2 linked regions of the Arabidopsis thaliana genome follow. The protein of the gene in region 1 interacts with the protein of each later gene in a pairwise test. Each region holds a gene or a part of one and is shown on either strand. Other genes may lie near its edges. The genes, in order: CGL1 and MNS1.

The links.
Region 2: the proteins of CGL1 (region 1) and MNS1 come close enough for resonance energy transfer, tested with the Arabidopsis thaliana proteins (one study listed by BioGRID).

What each region holds. Positions count from the first base shown.
Region 1 is NC_003075.7:17,931,052-17,937,493, reverse strand, and holds CGL1 (alpha-1,3-mannosyl-glycoprotein beta-1,2-N-acetylglucosaminyltransferase), read left to right. Parts: upstream 1-2,168; 5' UTR 2,169-2,284; coding exon 2,285-2,353; intron 2,354-2,457; coding exon 2,458-2,508; intron 2,509-2,721; coding exon 2,722-2,809; intron 2,810-2,949; coding exon 2,950-3,012; intron 3,013-3,094; coding exon 3,095-3,129; intron 3,130-3,222; coding exon 3,223-3,299; intron 3,300-3,376; coding exon 3,377-3,422; intron 3,423-3,514; coding exon 3,515-3,577; intron 3,578-3,656; coding exon 3,657-3,723; intron 3,724-3,789; coding exon 3,790-3,858; intron 3,859-3,972; coding exon 3,973-4,042; intron 4,043-4,147; coding exon 4,148-4,209; intron 4,210-4,310; coding exon 4,311-4,401; intron 4,402-4,516; coding exon 4,517-4,610; intron 4,611-4,840; coding exon 4,841-4,903; intron 4,904-4,978; coding exon 4,979-5,017; intron 5,018-5,116; coding exon 5,117-5,287; intron 5,288-5,371; coding exon 5,372-5,488; 3' UTR 5,489-5,924; downstream 5,925-6,442. Other genes in the region: AT4G38260 (transport/golgi organization-like protein (DUF833)), read left to right, coding at 1-175, 256-417; AT4G38250 (Transmembrane amino acid transporter family protein), read right to left, coding at 651-1,961; CPK26 (calcium-dependent protein kinase 26), read left to right, coding at 6,393-6,442. UniProt on the Arabidopsis thaliana protein: Initiates complex N-linked carbohydrate formation. Essential for the conversion of high-mannose to hybrid and complex N-glycans. Required for normal root growth and morphology.
Region 2 is NC_003070.9:19,127,555-19,134,132, forward strand, and holds MNS1 (alpha-mannosidase 1), read right to left. Parts: upstream 4,765-6,578; 5' UTR 4,579-4,764; coding exon 4,420-4,578; intron 4,086-4,419; coding exon 4,038-4,085; intron 3,958-4,037; coding exon 3,796-3,957; intron 3,537-3,795; coding exon 3,424-3,536; intron 3,304-3,423; coding exon 3,238-3,303; intron 3,098-3,237; coding exon 2,923-3,097; intron 2,551-2,922; exon of another isoform or gene 2,383-2,550; coding exon 2,293-2,382; intron 2,151-2,292; coding exon 2,026-2,150; intron 1,933-2,025; coding exon 1,867-1,932; intron 1,773-1,866; coding exon 1,664-1,772; intron 1,593-1,663; coding exon 1,494-1,592; intron 1,416-1,493; coding exon 1,335-1,415; intron 1,255-1,334; coding exon 1,084-1,254; intron 980-1,083; coding exon 761-979; 3' UTR 590-760; downstream 1-589. Other genes in the region: AT1G51580 (RNA-binding KH domain-containing protein), read left to right, coding at 17-99, 225-330, 411-548; ZML2 (ZIM-LIKE 2), read left to right, coding at 5,622-5,927, 6,101-6,193, 6,283-6,416, 6,525-6,578. UniProt on the Arabidopsis thaliana protein: Class I alpha-mannosidase essential for early N-glycan processing. Progressively trims alpha-1,2-linked mannose residues. Produces Man(5)GlcNAc(2) from Man(8)GlcNAc(2), but only Man(6)GlcNAc(2) from Man(9)GlcNAc(2).

The sequences.
Region 1 (6,442 bases):
GGGTTTCCAACAGCTTCTGGCTGAGAACGGGAGCGGTGAATTCCCGGTGAAGACCATGGTGGAGGAGGTGATGACCAATACTGTCAAGGACGAAGAAACCGAGCTACCTCACGTTTTCACACCAGAGACGGAATACCATCTCAGCTCCATCTTCGTCGACATGCAGAGACCAACTGTAACCTTCCTTTTTTAGAGTACATTGATTGTTTGTTTAACACTTTCCATAAATATTCAGTCTCACTCATGGAGATACAGGGGCGTTATGGGACCAGAAGCATCTCTGCGATCATCGTCAAGTCCCATGGAGATGGTGGTGGTGATGGTGAGATTTGCTTCTACGAGAGGCATCTTGAAGAAGGCGATTCATGGAAGGAACACACTCAACAGTTTGTAATAATACAAAACCAAAGCATTTGATTAGCTAGCCAGGCTTATTTCGCGAGCTTCCCTTGCTTGTAACATTGAGAAATCAAAACTCTCACATATGTTGTACATGTAAACACAAAACAGAAGACAGAGCTGATCTCTTTTATTCCAAACCATCAAAATACAAATACAATCACAGTTACTCTTAAAACCACAACCAATTCCATATACATAATTGCACACAAGGAGAGAAAAACCTCTCCAATCTCTGACTTCACGGACGCTCACACTTTGACAGAGAAGATCTCACTCAGGGAACTCCAAGTTCCCGACACAGCAAGAACCACACCTAGTACCACAATCGCTGTGTCTGAACTCCATTGCAGCCACCCCATCTCTTCCTTGAACACCAATAAATGAAACAATGCAGGTAACACAAAGCCTAACACACAGCAAGTGCTGCTGCCAACCAATGACAAAAAATCTGCAAAGTTTGGCACAAAAAGAGCCACCAGAGTCACTGCTAAGACGAGTACCCATCTGAGCCACGCAGAGTACATCCCGCGTGAGAAACGCCTCTCCACTATCTCAAACACTGGATTCATCATCAAGGGGAAGGTGAAGAAGAGGTTGATGCACAGTCCAAGCTGGACAACAGTGCTGACAAGTCCTGCCCCCAAGTTAGCAGTGATAATGTCCATGGTGTCCTCACCAAAAGCCAAGTAACCTAAGATACCAAATGCGATGTATATGAGAGAGATGAATCCCATGCCGAGAGCCAAGACTTTGCCAAACTTGTCCTTGTCCTTCATCTCCGATTCAAGAGGCAAGACCATTCCAACGCCTTCGAAGGAATAGACAGCGACGCCCATACCATACAAGAAGAGGGACATACCACCAAAGGCAACCACGTCAGGCCTTTGCTTGAGTATAATCATGGAATCCTCAACAATGACCACAGCCATAGCGCCAAGATCAACAATATCGGCGAAGATGCTGAGAGGAGCCAAGTGAGTGAGCGTCTTGATCGAATTCAAACCGAGCTGAAAGGGAAAGCATCCCCATATGTAGAGACTCTTAGAAGACACGCCCAGGAATTCAGAACCCAGCCTTGTAAACTGATGCCTCAGACTGGTGGGCGATTCAGGATCGGATAGATTAGCTAAAGTAGTGCCGATGAAGATAAGATATCCGACACAAAAACCAGCTTGAGACAGAATGATAAATAAGTCAACGACGATCCTCCCCAAGGAGCCGCAGACGGCGAATCCAAGGTCACCAAAAGAGCCGATCTTGGAGATGCCAGCATTGAAAGAGTCGAGCTTGCGGCGGGTATAGACAAGAAGCATCATACAGTGATGGGTCAAAACAGAGACGGAGACGAGGAGGAGGACACCCATGAGCCATCCGGTTCGCTTGAAGGCGTAAGGAAGACCAAGAACACCAGCGCCGACGACAGCGATGAAGACGTTGGCGAAGGTCTTAAACTGGCTGGAGAGGGGAGGTCCCTTGCCGAGAAGAGGCGAGTCCTCTCTGGCCGGTGGAGGTATTTTAAGGGTATAAGAGGAGGAGCTAGCTTCGTTCTGAAAACCCATCTGATGATTTTCGACCGAATCTCAGAAATCGAAGAAGATGGGGATGGATATTGGCGAATGGCGACAGCAAGATAATTGGATGAATTGCGTGTAGAGTTGGTGGACTCTCTTTTTTGGTTTGTTGTCAGAGATTTACAGAGGAAGAAGCTCGGCTCTATTTATGGATGAAATGAAATGGTCATCTTATCATTTTTACTGGGAAACGGTACCGTTTTTGTTATAACGCACGACGCCGTTTCAAACAACTTCCTTATTAGCTAGCTCCCTCCCGGCGGCAAACACCAGAAGATCCACCGGTTTTGATCTGGTTGTTTGTCGTCGATATGGCGAGGATCTCGTGTGACTTGAGATTTCTTCTCATCCCGGCAGCTTTCATGTTCATCTACATCCAGGTCAATCTATATCCGATGATCTCGCTTTTTGAAGTTGAAACTGAAATTGATTCCATCGCTGCAACCTAAATCTGTCTGTAATTATCCTCTCTTCTCTTCTCTAGATGAGGCTTTTCCAGACGCAATCACAGTATGCAGATCGCCTCAGTTCCGCTGTGAGTTTCTACTTTTACCACTGCCTTTTGTCTTTAGACCATTGCTACTAGTTCCTTTTGAAATCCCATTTTTTGGCTCTTTACAAGCCCATGAACTACTTTCAAGAAGAAGACACTATCTGCACTATTACACCATATCATTGCCTTTGGTATTTCGATTTTTTCCTGGTGTGTGATGAAGATCTATACACAGCCTTTCATTTGTTTCTCCAGATCGAATCTGAGAACCATTGCACTAGTCAAATGCGAGGCCTCATAGATGAAGTTAGCATCAAACAGTCGCGGATTGTTGCCCTCGAAGGTATATCCCCTTCTTCTTTCCTCATTGGGACTTGTGGAATCCTAGATGACCATGGTTCTTGGAACCTATTGAATACTATACAAAATTAACTTTCTAAATGGAGTAGAAGACTTATACATTGATTTCTGAGTGTCTTGTAGATATGAAGAACCGCCAGGACGAAGAACTTGTGCAGCTTAAGGATCTAATCCAGACGTTTGAAAGTGCCTTACTATCACCTGTAAAACTCATTTTCTTGCTTTCTTTTTATTAGTTTTTCTACTAATGCTTATTTTCTTCCTCCAGAAAAAGGAATAGCAAAACTCACTCAAGGTGGACAGGTCTGGATAAGAAGATGCCTTTCTTCGTATTTGTAACTGCTATCACTTGCTATATATATACATCTAACCTGTTTCTTGTTTTTTATTTAGCAGATGCCTGTGGCTGCTGTAGTGGTTATGGCCTGCAGTCGTGCAGACTATCTTGAAAGGACTGTTAAATCAGTTTTAACGTGAGATACTATACTGATTTAATTCTTATACCACATTTTGATTGAACTATCTAATGGCTATTTCTTTTTTTATACAGATATCAAACTCCCGTTGCTTCAAAATATCCTCTATTTATATCTCAGGTACTTAATTTGCAGGGTGGTGGTCTCTTAGACTGTTTTATATTCAACGAATTACTAACCATGGTCTTTTCCAACGACATATTTTCTGACAGGATGGATCTGATCAAGCTGTCAAGAGCAAGTCATTGAGCTATAATCAATTAACATATATGCAGGTAATTTAATCTAGCGTGATTTTTCTCCTCACTGTTCAAGTAGATAAATGAGGATGAAGGCTCGTTTTCCCCTTTTCAGCACTTGGATTTTGAACCAGTGGTCACTGAAAGGCCTGGCGAACTGACTGCGTACTACAAGATTGCACGTAAGGACTGGTTTCTCTTTTCTCTGCGTCCCTCCAGCTCCATTACTGAAACACTTTTTAATACAGGTCACTACAAGTGGGCACTGGACCAGTTGTTTTACAAACACAAATTTAGTCGAGTGATTATACTAGAAGGTGGCGCTTTTTAACCTTTCACACTCATCGTACCTTGCTGTTGTATTGTTTAAGAGGGGCTGTCTTTACCTTGTGGAGTATTGCTTAAGAGAGGTTATCTTGTCTCTTTAACAGATGATATGGAAATTGCTCCAGACTTCTTTGATTACTTTGAGGCTGCAGCTAGTCTCATGGATAGGGATAAGTATGTTACCTACTGAAGCTAGACTCTTATAGTATAAGTTTCCACAGAGTATACAAATGTTTTTATTACTGTTTCTCATTCTTTTCTGGTCCAAACATGTGTTAGAACCATTATGGCTGCTTCATCATGGAATGATAATGGACAGAAGCAGTTTGTGCATGATCCCTGTAAGATTCTTCTTCTTCTTCTTCTTTACCTTGCTTCCTCTCTTGCCTGTTCTTTCAATACCTCATTATGTCTAGCTCATGCGAGCTAAAATAATCTGCAGATGCGCTATACCGATCAGATTTTTTTCCTGGCCTTGGGTGGATGCTCAAGAGATCGACTTGGGATGAGTTATCACCAAAGTGGCCAAAGGCATATCCTTATATGCTTTTTTTTCTTTCAATCTCGATGACTATAGTTTGACGCTTCTTAAATTCTAAAAAAAAAAATAGTTTGACGTTTCTAAGACTTTTCTTAACAAATATCCACTTACTGGGATGATTGGCTGAGACTAAAGGAAAACCATAAAGGCCGCCAATTCATTCGACCGGAAGTCTGTAGAACATACAATTTTGGTGAACATGTTAGTACCCGATTATGCTATCCTATATATCATAGTTTTACAAGTCTGTTTTTGTAATGCTGTTAAATTGACCTATGTTCGCTGCATATGACTTCTGCTTTCTGTATGAAAAATGTATTATTGCAGCTTCGTCCTATAGTTTCCCGACACATGGATGTAGACAGTCAATACCACATAATATATTTTTGCATTTCATACTTATCCATAACCTTGTTATATTAATTTGGCAGGGGTCTAGTTTGGGACAGTTTTTCAGTCAGTATCTGGAACCTATAAAGCTAAACGATGTGACGGTAAGCGTAAGTGTGTTTTTTACCCCCTTTTGTTGCATCACTAGTTTTCACTGGTTTCCTATTTCATTCATAAAGGTTGACTGGAAAGCAAAGGACCTGGGATACCTGACAGAGGTAACATTTACAGAACTCCGGCCTTTTTTTTTTATACCATTTTGCATGTTTTGAGTGGAGAAATGTAGTTTTTAACCTGTTCTCTCATGTCTATCAAAGGGAAACTATACCAAGTACTTTTCTGGCTTAGTGAGACAAGCACGACCAATTCAAGGTTCTGACCTTGTCTTAAAGGCTCAAAACATAAAGGATGATGTTCGTATCCGGTATAAAGACCAAGTAGAGTTTGAACGCATTGCAGGGGAATTTGGTATATTTGAAGAATGGAAGGTAAATTTGAGATGATTGAACTATAATCTTCAATAATTGTAGGTCCAAATGGGTCACTTTTTTTGTACCCCTTTGATTGTGTAGGATGGTGTGCCTCGAACAGCATATAAAGGAGTAGTGGTGTTTCGAATCCAGACAACAAGACGTGTATTCCTGGTTGGGCCAGATTCTGTAATGCAGCTTGGAATTCGAAATTCCTGATGCAAAACATGTACTTCTCCAACCAGCATCATTTACATCTTAACCATTGCTTACAGTTCTGTGCTAACCGGGTTTCACAAGCAGATGAAAGGAAAAGAAGATTTTGGACCGCATGCAGCCTCCTTCTAGCAGCTGTTAGGTTGTATTGTTATTTATGGATGAGTTTGTCGAGCGGTGGGGTTAACTTTAACAGCAAGGAAGCTCTGGTGACCTGGCTGATTGGCTTAGAAGTTATGGGAACCCCTTGAAAGGGTCAGGGTTAAATATATTTCAGTTGTTTTATTAGTGATTATCTTGTGGGTAACTTATACGAATGCAAATCATTCTATGCAGTTTTTCTTCGTCCCACTTGTTTTGGCTTCTCTATTGCTAGTGTACATATCTCTTCAAACATGTACTAAATAATGCGTGTTGCTTCAAAGAAGTAACTTTTATTACATCTTTGGCGAGTAGCCAATCAAGGCACTCGACCCATCTTCTCTGGTATAACCCGTCAACTAGAATCTGAGGCCATGGGATCATTAAAGGTTTGTTCCGATGCGACCAATTGGAGGTCTTGATTTGTCTCATGTGAAGTAGGCCTAAGAAAAGAGCCTTGTGGAGTTCCCCTGCATTTTTAGAATATTCTAATTAAAGAGACAGATCTGTTGATGACTATTAATCAAAGATATCTTCTTCTTTTGTTATTTTTAGTCAGGATGTGGAGACGTTGGCGAGAATATTGCAAAACCATGTTCAACAATGTGTATCATCGGATCTGCACCAATCTGACTTAATTTTCATCCATTCTTATCATCTTTGTCTGGTACACATCCATCTCTTCCTCTAATTCCCCTGTTTTGATGTCTCTCCTTATTATTGCGATTTCTTTATGCTAAATTCGTATAATGTTTCAGATCTTGCTATGGGACTTGCTCTGTTTTCCTCTGATGGCAAACTAATTTGGAAGGGGAG
Region 2 (6,578 bases), on another chromosome or scaffold:
ATTTCTCAATCGCCAGCCGGGAATCGATGGCCATCCCGGTGGTATGGTTCCTCCTGATGTGAACCATGGATTTGCTTTGAGAAATGAGCCCATTGGCAGGTATCACTTTCCCGGCGCTGTCTTTGTTCACTTTAAAACTAAATGACTTTGAAATGCCAGAAACTGTACGAAGGAATTTTATCCACTAATTTCACATTATTGCCTTTTGGTTATGGTGTTGGCAGCGAGAATCCAGTAATGACAAGTGCAAATGTGGAGATTGTGATTCCTCAAGCATACTTAGGTCATGTCTATGGTGAGAACTGCAGTAACCTGAATTACATCAAACAGGTATGTTGCCGATAATATATGAGCAGCTGGTCATTTTGAAAGGCTGCATCTGATTACCGTTTGTAAACCTAATCAACTAGGTATCAGGAGCGAATGTGGTTGTGCATGATCCAAAGGCAGGGACTACAGAAGGACTGGTGGTTGTCTCAGGCACATCGGATCAAGCTCACTTTGCTCAAAGCCTTCTTCATGCTTTTATTCTCTGTGGTCAATCTTGATTGCTCTCTTTTCAAAGTGTGTACAATTTTAACATGATAGTAAAAAAAAGCTCTTCTACAAATCCAAAAATCATAGGAAACAGTAAAGTACCTCTACAAATTGCTGTGGCAAAAACGTTGTCCATCTGTTCTTTAAACTGATACAACAATGTGCCTCAAACTTTGTGGTAATATATAATAATATCAAATTCCATTTGAGCAGAAACTGTCTACTAAACGTTAATCTGATGACCAAACTTCCTCTGGCGTAGTGCTATAGTTGGCTTACGCGGATCATTCCGTGCCACAATCTTAAGCGGATGGGCTTCTGTGTTGAAAACCCACTCGTCTAATGAAATAACAGATGAAGGCGAAAAGAGAAGATATAGATACTTAAGAGTCTCAGCTAAGAAGAAGCTTTGCATCTTGTTGTCTTTAGCACCTGTATTGACCTGAAAATGAAGAAGCAAACGTTAACAACGTGTTTCCGAAAGATGGAAAGGCCCACTCGAGGAGGGTATCTGATTGGTTAAGGTCAGCCCGGCTCGAAACTTACATCCTTCAAGCCTACATATCCAGATTCTACGCGAGAGTTCTTCTCAAATGCTTGAAATATATTCCATCCCCACTCTTGATATGTCTTGTTCCCAGTTAATCGCCAGAGGTAAAACAGTGATTCAACGGTTTCTGGTCTTAAAATGTTCCAAGATGTGCCAACACTCATGTCCTGAAACAATCATGTGCTTATGGATACGACATAACCAACCAACTAACATACAAACAGATGCGCAAAAAGTATTTACCAACCTGCCCTGCAGTGAAGAAATAGTTCTCTCCAGCAAGTTTCGTTGGTGTCGATTGGTAAAAGTTATAACAAGTCCAGGCAAGCTGCAGTAAAGTGAGGGAAACAGCAATAAGGACACAGCAGAAAGTTATACTCAACATACAATTGAGATTCTAAGGCACCTCTCCAGCAAGTGAAAGAAACTTTTTTTCTTCATCAGGGCCATAACCTGAAGCTCCTAAAGCCAACATTCCAGGAGCAAAGCACGCCAATTCATCCATCTGAATGTTGAAATTATGTCAAAACCAACAAAATTCTCAAAGTAGAGAGTTGAAATTAGAATAGTTTTTACCTTATCAATCAAATTATTTCCGTTCTTCTCACATATATACGTAAATGATGAAGGTGTTGATTTCTTGACCAAGCTTAACAAACCTTTCATTGATTTCTCCCACATATCTCTGATTCAATACATTAAGAAAGATTTAGTCCTTATCCTTTATTGCTGATATTGAATTACTTGGGTGTATATACACAGCGTCGAGCTTTACTTACCTATAGGGTTTCACGGCAGATGTTTTGTTCCCTTGCACCCAAACTTTGAGCAAATACTCATAAAAGCTGTAAAACCAAATTATTATTAAAAGTTAGAGAGCAAAGTCATGGTCACAAGACCCGACCAACACAAAATGAAAATTTGGAGGAAGAAACTACCTATCTCCCATGGCACCAAATGTTGTGGTAGAGTACGATGGATTAGCATTATCCGGATTTATATAGATGGGAAGTAAACCATCAGCAGGAAAGTTCTTATTCAGTTCTGTAATAACCTTCTCTACCTGAGAGACATGAGTTAGCAAACGTGTCAATCTTGAGCAGCCAATATTTTCTTCAGCATTAATGCAGATTGATTGCCCACTTTTTCACACCGAGTTAGGATATAAAGAAAATCTGTTGGACAAACTCAAAATTAGTATCTACCTTCTGCTGATATTTTGGGTCCCCTGTCCTTTGGGAAAGGGCAATAAACTCGAGCTGCTCAGTGCCGGAGTCTGCGAGAATACTGTCTCCCTAGTAAAACAAAAAAAAAGTGTAGCAATCAGTAAAACTGACACAGCACATGTCCTCAATGAAACTGAAACATATCTAAACCTGATCACACTTGGTACTCATTTCAAAGACACTGCATATGATTGCTAGTGAATATATAGTTAGTTAAGAAACTATAGCTACCATAAACTCTAAACGTAACACCTGTTTAAAAGTCTAGACCCCAAACAAGAATGTTAATTGTTGCATACAGAGAAACCATAACTTGGCTGTTTCTGCCGAGTCCAGATCTTAGTTTTTATACGGGGTTGAATCATCTAAGAAAGTGGTCAGAACTTGGATTTAAGCTATCAAATAGACTCTAAGGAGTCCTTTAGAAACATAATCAGGAACCTAAGTCAACTACAGAACAAGTGCACAGAGTTTCAGGAGCCATTTTTTCTAGAAACGAATAAAGATTTGTATCCAATCATTGGATTCCAAGGTTAGGCTTTAAAAAGATCTACATGACACAAGATGACACAATACAACATACACGGCACTCAGTAATCTAGGACTCACCCCTGCCGCCCATGAAGGATTGTGAGCATTTCCATTTCTCAAGTTGATAATATTGTAAGGTATACCCGTTGGAGTATTCCATGCAGGCAATAATCTGTCTGCAATATCCTTAGCCTTTTCAAGGAACATTTTGTCCCCAGAAAGATCATACGCACTAAGAAGTCCGCCTACAACTCTGAAGGCAGATAAAGAAAAAGAATATAAGCAGATGCAATATCCGTTCCCCATCTTATGTCACCAACTGATAATCGCAAATAAACTGACTCTTCCTACGATAATTACAGAAAACAACCACAGTAAACCTGTTAAAGCCACCTTATGGTTGTCTCAAACATACTGGCGTCATAATCCTTGTCGAAATCCAATGAGCTTGCAACCCACCTGCAAATAAAAGACAATAAGCAAATGAAGATTAGCAAAGATGAAGAAGTAAAAAGTTGGATTTGCAACTGGGACGAAAACAGTTACATATGAATAAATGAAGAGCCTGCAATTACTCACTCTCTGGCTTTTTGAAACTGCTCATCTAGACCCATTATATAGAGTGTATCTAAAGAATCTACCATAGTTGCTCCAAGGCCACCAAAGCTATCAGTGCCATCTTTTGTCCGAGGCTGACAATAAAAAAAGGAAAGAAACAAGAATAGCTTCAGACCAATATTTTTTTTGCAGAGTTCAGGAAGAAAATAATCTTAGTTCTTAACAAAATCTTTGTAGGCCTGGTAACTTCAGATAAGCTCATAATAAAAGGCTCAACAGGATACTGGAAGAGCAGGCACTAAACGTCAAAATAAAATTTGATTCATAGAGTCCGTCGTAAACTAGATTTCGTATTCACAAGGGTGAAATGTATTTTGGAAAATAATTGTATACCTGAAGCTCATCTTTCCCCCATGCATACTTTTCATAAGAGCTCCAAGCATGGATCATTGCCTCTTTTACTTTCTGCCTTCGCTGTTTATCAACTGGATCTTCTGGGGCATCCTTCAGAGTCTTCAAAGGCTTATTGCCAACACCACCATTAAGCTCTTCTAACTAGCGGAAAATATAGTTAGTTAGCTAAAACATTAGAAAGACTATCTGAGCCTAGAGTGAGGGGAAAATATTAATCTTACCATCTGCTCCAACCGTGAAACTTCTTCATTTAGCTTAAAAACTTCAACCTGCAAGACAAAAAAAAGCAGGACAAGTGAGAGAATGATCACAAGAGAAATTGTTCACTTCCTTGACATTTTTCTTATTTTGGTTACATAGCTTCTTATAAACGAATACATGAATTGAGTCCAGAAGATATTAATTACAGCTCTTTTCTAGTAAATAAAACACCAACTGTCTTACTTATAGACCTTGAGCTATGAAGGCAATCAAACCATTCCAGGCCTAAACCATATAACCTACTTCACCAAAATTCGAATTGGCCTACCAATAAGCTATGATACAAGAACTATCTCCTACTCCTAGGCAGAGTCTAACCAGATTTCATTAGACAAAACATACCTCATGTTCTCGGGCAAGATTAATACGATCCCAGACAAGCATAGAAACAGAGACGAAGACAATGAAAAGCAAAGCCAAACGTCTCGGTCTTCTAAGATAATACGCAGGATTCAAATATTTCCATATCCCATAACCACTAATCGATCTACTTCTCGCCATCTCTCTTCTCAACCCACTCAACAAAAACAGAGACCAATTGAGAAATCAGTGTCCATGAAACAGAGCAAGACAAAAGTTAAAAGCTTTTAAATTTCTGATCCGAAAAGAGTAAGAAACCGAGAGAGAAATAAGTCTCTCAAAGAACAAAAGTTATAGATCCGATTTTAGTAGTTAGAAGGAGGAAGACGAAGAAAGAATTAAAAAACGAAACTTTACCCAAAAACCAAAAGAAAAGTATTTATTTATATCTCCGGCACTTTTGCTTATTTATTCTTTTGATGATAAAATAATCAATCGAGTCTCTTTAGCCCCCACTGGTTCGTCTCTTTCTTCGATTTCTCTTTCTATCTGGTTTCCATTTTCGTCTCGTTGGTGTTCTGGTGGGTTTGGTTTGTCTCTGTTCTTCTATTTGTGGCGTTATCCATCGGTTCAATTGTCATCTTCATCGTTTCCGTCGTGTTATTTGGTGTTTCTCGTTTGGGTCTTTCGAACATCTTTCATTCTTCTCTTTTTGGTGTTGCTCCCCACGAACAGGTAACATCATCTTAACTCTTATATTGGTTTCGTGTGTCGTAATGAGGAACCTATATTTCAATGGTTTTGGATGTCGCTTTGTTTCAGGATTTGCTTTTGTTTCTTAGGGTTTATTTTGTTTGTTGAAATTATAAGTGAGTTTGTGGAATTGGTATAATATGGTTTATGTAAGGCTTAGAGCGTGGAAATATTGAAACTTTGGATTGAATCTGATTGATGCAAATATGTTAGAAGTCTGTGTTAATCTCTTGAAAACAAGCATTGATCCATAAGGTTTCCTGAATTTATGTATAGTGTTAGTTAGAACTTATATGTAAGTTGCTCCAATGACCGAGGAAGTAAGGTTATATAGTATGTGAATCATGTTTTGCTTAGAGCTGATTTGATTTGTCTGGTCATCCATGAATCGTGCTTATGAAGATTAGGTGTTTTTGTTTGAAGTTTCCAGTTTTAATGTTAATTTGTTTTACTTTCACTGTTATCATTAGGTAGATTGATGAAAAGCAACCATGGATGACCTACATGGAAGCAATGCTCGAATGCACATTAGAGAAGCTCAAGATCCAATGCATGTGCAATTTGAACATCATGCTTTGCATCACATCCACAATGGAAGCGGTATGGTTGATGACCAGGCTGATGATGGCAATGCTGGTGGGATGAGTGAGGGTGTGGAAACAGACATTCCTTCTCACCCTGGAAATGTAACTGACAATCGTGGTGAAGTGGTCGACCGTGGTAGTGAACAAGGAGATCAGTTAACATTGTCTTTTCAGGGCCAAGTCTACGTTTTTGACAGTGTCTTGCCTGAGAAGGTGAGTTAAGTTGTTACTGAGTTGGTTCGTTGATTGTCTCATTCCATTAGAATTTATATTCTTACTCCAAGCCACATTTTAGCAAGTGGTTGAAGGATCTAGTTAGCTTTGAGTTTTTTCCATCTATTGATTCTAATGTGTGAGTGCCTCTTGCTATTCGACGCCTGTTGCAGGTTCAAGCTGTGCTTCTATTATTGGGTGGTCGTGAATTACCTCAGGCAGCCCCTCCTGGCCTAGGATCACCTCATCAGAACAACAGAGTATCGGTAATAAAATATATGATGGCATTTATGGGACATAAGTTCCCTTCCTTGATACATTGCTTGACTGACTGACTGACTAATCAATGAAACAGAGTTTACCTGGTACTCCTCAAAGGTTTAGTATTCCGCAGCGATTAGCTTCTTTGGTCAGATTTCGAGAGAAACGGAAAGGAAGGAATTTTGATAAGAAGATTCGGTATACAGTCCGCAAGGAGGTAGCTTTGAGGTACATTGATGTCTAAATCAACAACTTGGTCTAGTTATACTTCTTTTATGGTTGCTCTCCCAAAATTAAGGTTCGCATCTTGATTACTTTTTGTTTTCTGGTATACAGGATGCAACGCAATAAAGGTCAGTTCACATCTGCCAAGTCAAACAATGATGAAGC